Oryzias latipes: one gene and its partner. The protein of the gene in region 1 binds, or shares a complex with, the protein of each later gene. Links are inferred from orthologs where the notes say so. Each region holds a gene or a part of one and is shown in the gene's direction. Other genes may lie near its edges.

What was found.
Region 2: cnot10 (region 1) and CCR4-NOT transcription complex subunit 7 share a complex: the UniProt entries of both Homo sapiens proteins name them as parts of the CCR4-NOT complex. The link is inferred for Oryzias latipes from reciprocal best matches to the Homo sapiens genes CNOT10 and CNOT7.

What each region holds. Positions count from the first base shown.
Region 1 is NC_019874.2:7,745,295-7,749,964, forward strand, and holds the start of cnot10 (CCR4-NOT transcription complex subunit 10), read left to right. Parts: upstream 1-1,764; 5' UTR 1,765-1,960; coding exon 1,961-1,991; intron 1,992-2,574; coding exon 2,575-2,669; intron 2,670-2,774; coding exon 2,775-2,936; intron 2,937-3,008; coding exon 3,009-3,162; intron 3,163-4,256; coding exon 4,257-4,396; intron 4,397-4,670. UniProt on the Homo sapiens protein: Component of the CCR4-NOT complex which is one of the major cellular mRNA deadenylases and is linked to various cellular processes including bulk mRNA degradation, miRNA-mediated repression, translational repression during translational initiation and general transcription regulation.
Region 2 is NC_019868.2:26,784,305-26,789,204, reverse strand, and holds the start of CCR4-NOT transcription complex subunit 7, read left to right. Parts: upstream 1-1,973; 5' UTR 1,974-2,175; exon of another isoform or gene 2,176-2,405; intron 2,406-2,575; 5' UTR 2,576-2,582; coding exon 2,583-2,699; intron 2,700-3,308; coding exon 3,309-3,502; intron 3,503-4,656; coding exon 4,657-4,818; intron 4,819-4,900. UniProt on the Homo sapiens protein: Has 3'-5' poly(A) exoribonuclease activity for synthetic poly(A) RNA substrate. Its function seems to be partially redundant with that of CNOT8.

The sequences.
Region 1 (4,670 bases):
TTCATGTAGTTAAAAAAATGAAGAACAGATGCATCACATTTAAAATAACCAGTTTCTTCTGATGTTTTATTTATTTATTATTATTTTTGAGATGGTTACTTACTCTCCTGTCCAGATGAACTCTAATTGAAGGGAACTGCTTCACCACCTCCAGCAGCCTCTCCTTCTGCCACTTCATGGATTCGTTTTTTCTCCTTCAAGGAAAATTCTGCCAATAGGTTCGCTGAGCACAGCTTGTGCTCAACAGGTGCTGTTCGTTTTCAACCTTTTACTCACAATCACCTGTCTAGAATCAGCTGCAAATTACACACAAGTTTTCTGTGTTGACATTGCAATTACCAGGGAAAAAAAGCTTTTGTTTTATCTCAGCTTAAAGATGATTTGTTGTAATTCATCGATGCTGTTATTTTATTTTGTTCTGCATCCACATGATTGCGTTTGCACCTGATTTCAGATTAAACCGGTTCAGTGTGGGACACACTTGTGGTTTCATTTGAATTTGTCATATCCATCCATCCATCCATTTCTGTGTCACAGTGTTGTCTGTCGTAGGGCACACAATCACACACACATGCACACCTATAGGGACACTATTAGAGTAGCCAATTAACCAATGAAGCATGTTTTTAGACTGTGGGAGGGAGCTGGAGTGCCTGGAGAAAACCCACACATGCATGAGGAGAACAGGCAACTCCACAGACAAAGGTCCCAGTCGGGATTTAAACTGGGGCCTTCTCAGCACTAACCATTGTTCCACCTTGCAGCCCAGCGGCATTGTTATATTTGAACCCTGTTGAAGGGAATTTGCAGGACATGGGTGGGGGTGGTTGGGTGTGTTATGTTTTGGGGATGGCTCCCATCCTCGTCTCCTTGATTAGCTGTTTCCTCTATGTTCTTTCTTAACTCCATCTCTGCCTCTTTTTCTTCACGTTGTCTCCTTATTATTTGAAGTTTCCATTAATCTGTTTTAGTTCCTCTGTTTCTTCTTCTACCTCGCCTCACCTTTCCCTCTCCTGTCCATTGGAGAACAAGGAACAGTTTACCTTTAACTTGCATCTGGTATTTCATTTCTCACTGAGGTTATTGTAGTTAACAAGAAAAAACCAAACTAGATGTGATAAGGCACAAGAAGGAGACAGAGGCTTTGGGTAAGTAGCTCAATGACACCTGTGTTGACACCTTGATGCTACAAGACACAATCTCCAGCAGCTGCTCAGAGATCCGCCCAGCCTGCTGAAGAAAGAGGCGCACCATCAGACTGACCATAGCCACTGAGGAGAAGGACTGGAAGATACAGTTGAGGAGGAGGAGGAGCAGCATCATCAGGTGTCACTGAACTAATCCATGCGTATACCCCTGCAGGACTTGGAGAAGAAGCTGGATGTGTGCCGATCCTCATTGACGAGGCAGCTGTTGACCCAAAAGGAAAAGAGCAAGGAAGTCAGAAAAGAATCTTGCAAATAACAGGAGCAGACTGATCAGCTGAGCAGATACATCCTAAAGAGTTTCTGACTGTTTCATTCTCTGCCTTTTACTGACAGACAGATATTGGAAGTGGAGAAGTTCCACTATTGAGCTCATTTAATGAAGCCACAGAACTGTCTTCTACCTGATCAGCAGCCTGACTCGATAGGACGGATGTTAGATTTTGTTAATAAAGTTTGTTTATACTTAACTACAAATAAAGTTTATTCAAAATAAAAAAAGACGGCGCGTGCTCTCATTCTTACCATGGACAGTTACTTCCAAAGGGGGCGCTGTTGACAAACCGTGCGCTGGTGTCGATGGCGCCAGTGACCGAAGAAGAACCAAGAGAAGCGGCTACAGCAGTCAGTCACTGAAGCCGACCACAAACAGAGCTGGTCCGGTTCGTGTAAAACTCTTTCCAGTTGGATATTCAGGATTTCCTCTTCCCGGCGTTGTTCTTGTGTTCTCCTACAGCTCCGCGGCTGGATTGTGGATGAAGACCCGGGAAATGGCCGAAAACTCCGGTGGGTGTTCCGGCTGATGATGCTACTAACTAGCTGCTGCTCAGTTAGCGGCTGCTTCTGCATGATGATGATCCGTCAGTGTAGCTGAAACCCCCCCAAAAGACATTAGAGGTAGCCCGACAGCCCCGTGGCAGATCCAGGACTCCCAGGTAACCGTCCCGAAGTTGGGGTGCAGATAATACTGAGCAGACTGTGGTTAGATCAAAGTTCTTGAGGTGATCCAAGCAGGTCCTGCTGCTCATCATGGAACTATGACAGGACAGACCATAACTCAGACACAACACCACGTATGAAGGAACCCCAGCTTGGCCATGAACAGACGCGTCCCACAATAAACTGAGAGAAGGTCATTACGTCGTCATACACGTGACATTCTTTTGCTAAACTTAAGGCTACAATATCTGCCTTAAATGAGAGGGATTTTCAGAAATGGTCTTAGGAAGTTACCATGTGGGGTCTGAAGCCTCCAGAGTGAGAGGGAAGGACTGCAGAGACATGGCGCCCTTTGGGTTCTGGTTGAGCCACGCATTCCGTCCTCAGGTGGAACTCAGAGGGTTTGATGTCTCCTCTGTTGCAATTTCAGCCGAACGCAACGAGGAGAAGCATGACGGCTCGGGTGTGACGGGCATGAGCGACCAGGAGAAGGAGCTGGCCTCGAGTGCGTACGAGTGCTTCTTGGTAAGTCCGTCTCTCTTCGGATCGTCAGCAGAACAGGTTTTGGTGCATGTGGTGGAGGCTGGAGCTGGGTAATGCCACACGACGTGAAGCCTCTGTGTCTCACAGGCTGGACGGTACGAAGAGTCCATGAAGCACCTGGAAGCCCTGCTGGAGTTCAACAAAGAGGACTACAAGATCGCCATGAACAAGGCCGTCACAGAGTTCTACAGGAGCAGTCAGACCACCACGGGCACTTTGAGGCAGACGCTGATGGCCATGAAGAACCGGGTAACAGCAGCTCACCGACACCTGCACTCTAATACGTTATGAGACGTTTGATTGGCCGACTGTGTCCGCCAGCTCCACTCATCGCTGACGGAAGACGCCGATGGCCTGGACGACGTGGAGAACAGCCTGCTGTACTACAATCAAGCGGTCATCTGTTACCACTTGAAGCAGTTCTCTGAGGCCATTTCCATTGGAGAGAAGCTCTACCAGTTCTTGGAGCCGTTTGGTGAGTAGTCAGCAGGGCAGACTCCCCGCCTGCCGCTGTCTGTGGCACAGGTGCATGCTCTGCTCTGCGTCTGGACGTTCACATGGGGGTCACTGAGGTCACATTGTGAGAACACTGGGGTCCTGTTGTGTCCCAGAGAGGTCTGTTTCAGAAATGGAGAGTCCCTGCAGCCTCATTGATTATGGACCTGGAGTGTTTGACGACGCTGAAGTTGGCTTCCGATTCACAGCTTCCAATTCTCCAGGGGACTAAAGGAACATTCCACGGCATTTTTCACATGAAGGCCACGTAGAACCGGTTCCTCTTCAAACCCCACAGGGCCTGGACTGCTCAAACCTGGATTCCATTATGATTTAAATAGTAAATACATTAAACACAGATGTGGAGAAGTCTTCATGAATGTCCAATGAGGTTTAGTGCATGGACACACCATCTTTGGTCATGTGACCCTAAGGTCTGTGCTGAGCTCAGTTGACGAGTTTTCAGCTCCCTGGTAGTTGCTCTTCAACCAGATTCTACAAACTTCTAGCTTTTCCAATAATGGGAAATGTCAGATGTTGGGGGGGGCACACCCAAAGTCACCTGTCAGTCACCAGATCACGCCTCCTTTTTGATCCCAAATACCCTCAAATGGAAGCATCGTCTCCATTGTAGTGTCTGTAAATGTAATGAGAGGTCAAACCTGGATTTATGCTGGTGCTGCCTTTTCTGATGTAAACATCCCAGCTTTCTTTGTGATCTGACCAATCAGCTGATACTTTTCTTTTCAAACCAGCTTCAATGATGAAGTTAAAAGTCTTGGTTTGAGCCACATCTTCAGGCTGTCCATCTTCAGACGGCATGTTGTGCAGCAGGATCTGTTCTCAGCGCCTGTGGGTTCAGCTTTTTTCTGCAACGTTCTGTCTGAAAGCTCCTGTGATGGATCAAGTTCCCACAGTCACCGTCCTGATCCTCAGGGACGCGTCCCGCACAGTCTGACCCAACAGGAAGCCTGCTGGTGCAGACTGGACTGGGGGGGATTGCTCCATGCATGGCGTGCCTTACATCAGGTCTGCTCTCGGCTGTGTGTGTAAAGACTTTTTCATTTGTCCCAGAAGAGAAGTTTGCTCAGGCCGTCTGCTTCCTCCTGGTGGACTTGTACCTGCTGACCTTCCAGCCAGAGAAGGCGCTGCACCTGCTCGCCGTGCTGGATAAGCTGTCTGCTCAGGGCGGCAGCAGGAACGGGAAAGGAGAGGTAAGCGGCGCCGGCAGTGTGATGAAGAGACGCCTCATTTACAGGAGGAGGCTTTGTTCTACTTAGATTTGTTTAACCTTTTTCTGTCCCTTAGGTAAATGTTAAACCTTAAATCCTAATGATTTACAAGAACAAAGATGTTGAAAAGCAGAGTTATGGTATCTTTCGGAGTATAAATAGCTTTTTAGTTTGGGCAGGGGTGTGACTTATACTCAGGAGCAAATGATATATGTGATTTAAAAAAACTGTTTTTTAAACTGAGTCTGAAGAGACG
Region 2 (4,900 bases), on another chromosome or scaffold:
GTTGCAGGATAACATTTATTAACAATCAACATGGTTTTGATTCAATATTATAACATTTTTAACGATGATATTGCAAATTAAATAAAGTTTTAAATCAATCTAAAATGAGATATTGATAATATGTATATCAATTTTTATGTCTTGCAAAATGTATTATTTGAGATTTGTTTTGCTTCTTTTGATTCTCCAATTAATTAAGACAAAAATACAAACAGTTGTAAACATAAAGAAATAAAATCTAAAATTATGTAATTTTTTATAAAAATGTATTTACATATTTTTAAATAAAACACGAAATAACAAAATGTTTAAATGATTTATGAACGTGGAATGTATGAGCATCGAAAAATACCATTAACTGATAAAATTATAATAAAGAGAAGTAATTGCAGAAAAAATTAGCATGAAAAATGCAATAATTCATTCATTTTCTTAACCGTTTATTCCCTTTCGGGGTCACGGGGCTGCCGGAGCCTATCCCGGCCACTTGGGCATAGGCAAGGGATACCCTGGACTGGTTGCCAGTCTGTTGCAGGGTGGAATATCCTCAATCACACATCCATTCACTCTCACACTCACAGTTATGGACAATTTAGAGTTGCCAATTAACCTATGAAGCATGTTTTTGGATGGTGGGAGGAAGCCGGAGACCCCGGAGAAAACCCACGCATACACGGGGAGAACATGCAAACTCCACACAGAAAGGTCCCCCATTGATGTTCTGTTTTTCACGTCCCCCAGCCGGGACTTGAACCGGGGGCCTTCTTGCTGTGAGGCAAGAGCGCTAACCACTGCGCCACCGTGCAGCCTAAATGCAATAATATTTACTAAAAACGATTTTTTTGTAATCTTATATTAGCCACTGATTTTTTTTATTTTAGAAAAAATTACATAGTGGGAGATTGTCCCATTTTGTCTTTGTGTTGCAAATAAATAGAAGATGAGGAAGTGAAGCAACAATATGTTTATAAATAAATTATTTTGTTTTAAAAAGTACACATCCTACCTGAGGATGTGTACAAATCAAGAAAATGTGGGTCATAGTTTCAGGTTTGGCATCACAAAAAGAACCACTGGTGTCATCATTTTTGCAGCTGTGTAAAATACTTCATGCCCGAATTTATTCTCAATGTTGAAAAAACTTCCTTTGTGAATGAAGTGCTGGAGAAAATGAAATGTTATGAATTACTAACTTACGGGATGAGGGGTTAAAGGTCAAAGAAAAAGAAAAAGAATGAAATACAGATAACATAGAAAAAAATTAAACATTACAAAAATTACATAAGGTATGAAAAATTATAAGGGCATTTACACAACATATTGGTTATTGAGGGTTTGTGTTCAACAATAAAAGTTAAAGGTAAAATCTTTTTCACCCTAAATGTCCTCTAGTCCATATTTGTTGAAAATGTTTCCCTTAAAGATGTCAATCATATGCATTCTTTTTTTTCATCTTAGAGTGGTCATAAAATGATCAAAATCAACAAAAATGCGAACGTTGGATTATGATGCGTCTGTGAAAATTGTACTTTTTTATTAAAACAAGTGATTTGAAAAACGAATTTATCTCTGCATCATGTTTTACTTGAATTTAAAATGTGGCCTTTTTGGTTTCATGGCTAACATTTTTATTTGTGTAAAACTTTTTCAGTAATTTACCAAAATAATATAACTTTAGGGGCAAAAAAAAGTTTATTTTACTTTAATATAAATTGAAAAGAAAATATATTTTGTGAAAAAATAAAAAAAATCTGTACAGTATAATTTTTAAAAATAATATATCCTTTGAAAATAATTATATATACACTTTCAACGAGAGCCTGTTCACCTTGAATAAATTAGTAATTAATAAGAAATATATAACGTTTATTTGTACTTTTTAAAATTTATATATTCCTCTTTACAAACATTTATTGGAAAACCTTTTTTCACATTTTACGGATGAGGATCCTGAAACGTCCTTACGTCCTGACGTTTCACTTTACGTAATGACGTCACTGTGTGGGGTCCGCTGTGATGGCAGCCGTAGGTTGACATCAAGCCCCACTGAATATAAAAGTATTTCAAAGTTGGCGGAACACCCCCCTCCCCTCCCTGCTGACAGATATCACAGAACACACGGCCAGCTTTCAGATAGCACACGCTCAAACACGCGCGCGCCCGTTTCGGGGAACGGTGAGTCAACGAAACAAAACCTTTGCAGTCTCCCAAAAAAAAAAAAAAGAAAAGAAGTGACGCCCCGGCGTGTGTGCGCGCGCGCGCACTGCTGCTACTTACTCGTGCCTGTCCTGTTGTACAACCACTCCTGTGTAGTTGATCGAAACTAATGTTTTGTGTGAGAAAACCGCACAGTCGCCACTCCTCTTGTTCGGAAGTTTTACCTCCAACCCGCTAACTGTTAACAGGTAACAAGCTAGCAACAGTGCTGCTTTAAATTACGAGCTAGCAGGCGGCTAAAACACACATGACTTCTACTACTAACTAAGCGGCTCTTTTCATGTGGTTTCGGCTGCTTTGTCTGTGTTTTCATGATGCTCTCATCATCCCCCGCCCCCCATCTCCACGCGTGGTGAAGTGGCACTATGCCCGCAGCCACTGTAGACCACAGCCAAAGAATATGTGAGGTCTGGGCCAGTAACCTGGAAGAGGAGCTCAAGAGAATCCGGCACGTCATCCGAAAGTACAACTACATCGCAATGGTGAGAGATGCTCAGAGACCCCACCCATCCATCCACCTATCCATCCACCCACCTATCCATCCATCCACCCATCCATCCATCCATCCACCCATCCATCCATCCACCTACCCACCTATCCACCCACCCATCCACCCACCCATCCATCCACCTATCCATCCACCTATCCATCCATCCATCCACCTATCCATCCATCCACCTATCCACCCACCCATCCACCCATCCACCCACCCATCCATCCACCCACCCACCCATCCACCCATCCATCCATCCATCCATCCATCTACCCACCCACCCATCCATCCATCCATCCATCCATCCACCTACCCAACCATCGATCCACCCATCCATCCATCCACCCACCCATCCACCCATCCACCCACCCATCCATCCATCCACCCACCCACCCACCCATCCACCCACCCATCCATCCACCCACCCATCCATCCATCCATCCACCCACCCATCCATCCATCCACCTACCCAACCATCGATCCATCCATCCATCCACCCACCCACCCACCCACCCATCCATCCATCCATCCATCTATCCATCCTCCCACCCACCCACTGTCACTGGTGTCCACGGTCCCTCGTTCTTGCCTCTTTCAGGACACAGAGTTTCCAGGAGTTGTAGCCCGACCCATCGGAGAGTTCCGGAGCAATGCCGACTATCAGTACCAGTTGCTGCGCTGCAACGTGGACCTGCTGAAGATCATCCAGCTGGGCCTGACCTTCATGAACGAGCAGGGAGAGTACCCCCCCGGGACGTCAACGTGGCAGTTCAACTTTAAGTTTAGCCTCACGTGAGTCTCTCACTATGTCTAAACAGACTCGTCCGCTTGGATTCCCATGAACGACTTCACAATCTGTAAAAACAATTCAATTCAAAACACATTAAAGTCCTATATGCCTTTGATCTATTTTAAAAGCATTCCCAATCAGATTTAAATTATGGTTATTCCGTATTTTAGCCACACACAAAAAAAAGTTGTCATTTTCCTGGATATAGTTTCTGCAGTTTCTACCCTTTATTCTCCTTCCTTGTTGCTGAGAGCTCTCTGTTTACACAATCTCCCGGTAGCTTACAGCCCCCTCATACCGCCTGACCTGATATTGACCGGTGCAACAAAAAGGGCGAGCCAGCTCAGACGAGGAAGACGAAGGTTAATTTTCTTTATGTATCATCAAAAAAAAAAACCACCACCACATGTTAAGCCCTCCAAAAACACAACTTACATTTTTTTTATCAGAGGGGGTAGGCGCACAAAGGGGATTTAAATTAATCGAAGAGAAAGCATCCTGAATGAAAATAGGAGTTTTTATATTTAAAAAAAAAAAAACAGATCAAAGCTGCCTGAAAAATACAAGTAATTAATGAAAAAAATAGCAATAATGCATGCTCTAAATAGGAAGCACAGGTGTTTTTTTAATTGTTTTTTATTGTTAAACAGATGGGGTTTTTTTTTACTTTTTTTACGTAAGCTTGGGTGGCTTTTTAAAAAAAATTTTAAGTTATGTTTGTTTTGTGAATCATGTAAAACATCTAAAGATTCTTGGAGAAATCCATGGTGGATGTTCTGGGACGGAGGAGGCGGGGCTTACAGGAGAAGCATTTGTCTTTCAGAATAAGAGCGGCGCTTTCATCCCTTCTCACACGATTGGTCCCCCGTGGGTTCAACGATGCTTTTCAAAGTCAAGCGTTATTCTGTCCATCGTTCCCAAATGGAAGAATTTGCACTTTTTCCAGCATCCAGTCAGATCCTAGTCGATCTATTCCTGCCTTAAGTTTTTTTTTGAAGGTTTCCCTCTTTGCTGAGCAAACCTACAAAGTTTAAGTTTTTTAATGGTTATTCTGTGGCGTTTTGTTTGTTGTTTTTTTGGAATGAAAGCGTGAAGCTTAGAAACAGAGATGTGTTTTATTTATTTATTTCATTTATGTATTTATTGTTTTAACCAGAGAGGACATGTACGCGCAGGACTCCATCGAGCTCCTGACCACTTCAGGAATTCAGTTCAAGAAGCACGAGGAAGAAGGCATCGAGACGCTGTTCTTTGCAGAGCTGCTGATGACATCAGGAGTGGTGCTCTGTGACGGAATCAAGTGGCTCTCCTTCCATAGGTAGCCCCCCATCAATAGTTGCTCTTCACGTTTGTTATTGACGGTAAAGTCATCGTCTTTTTCAAGCTTAAATAACAAACTC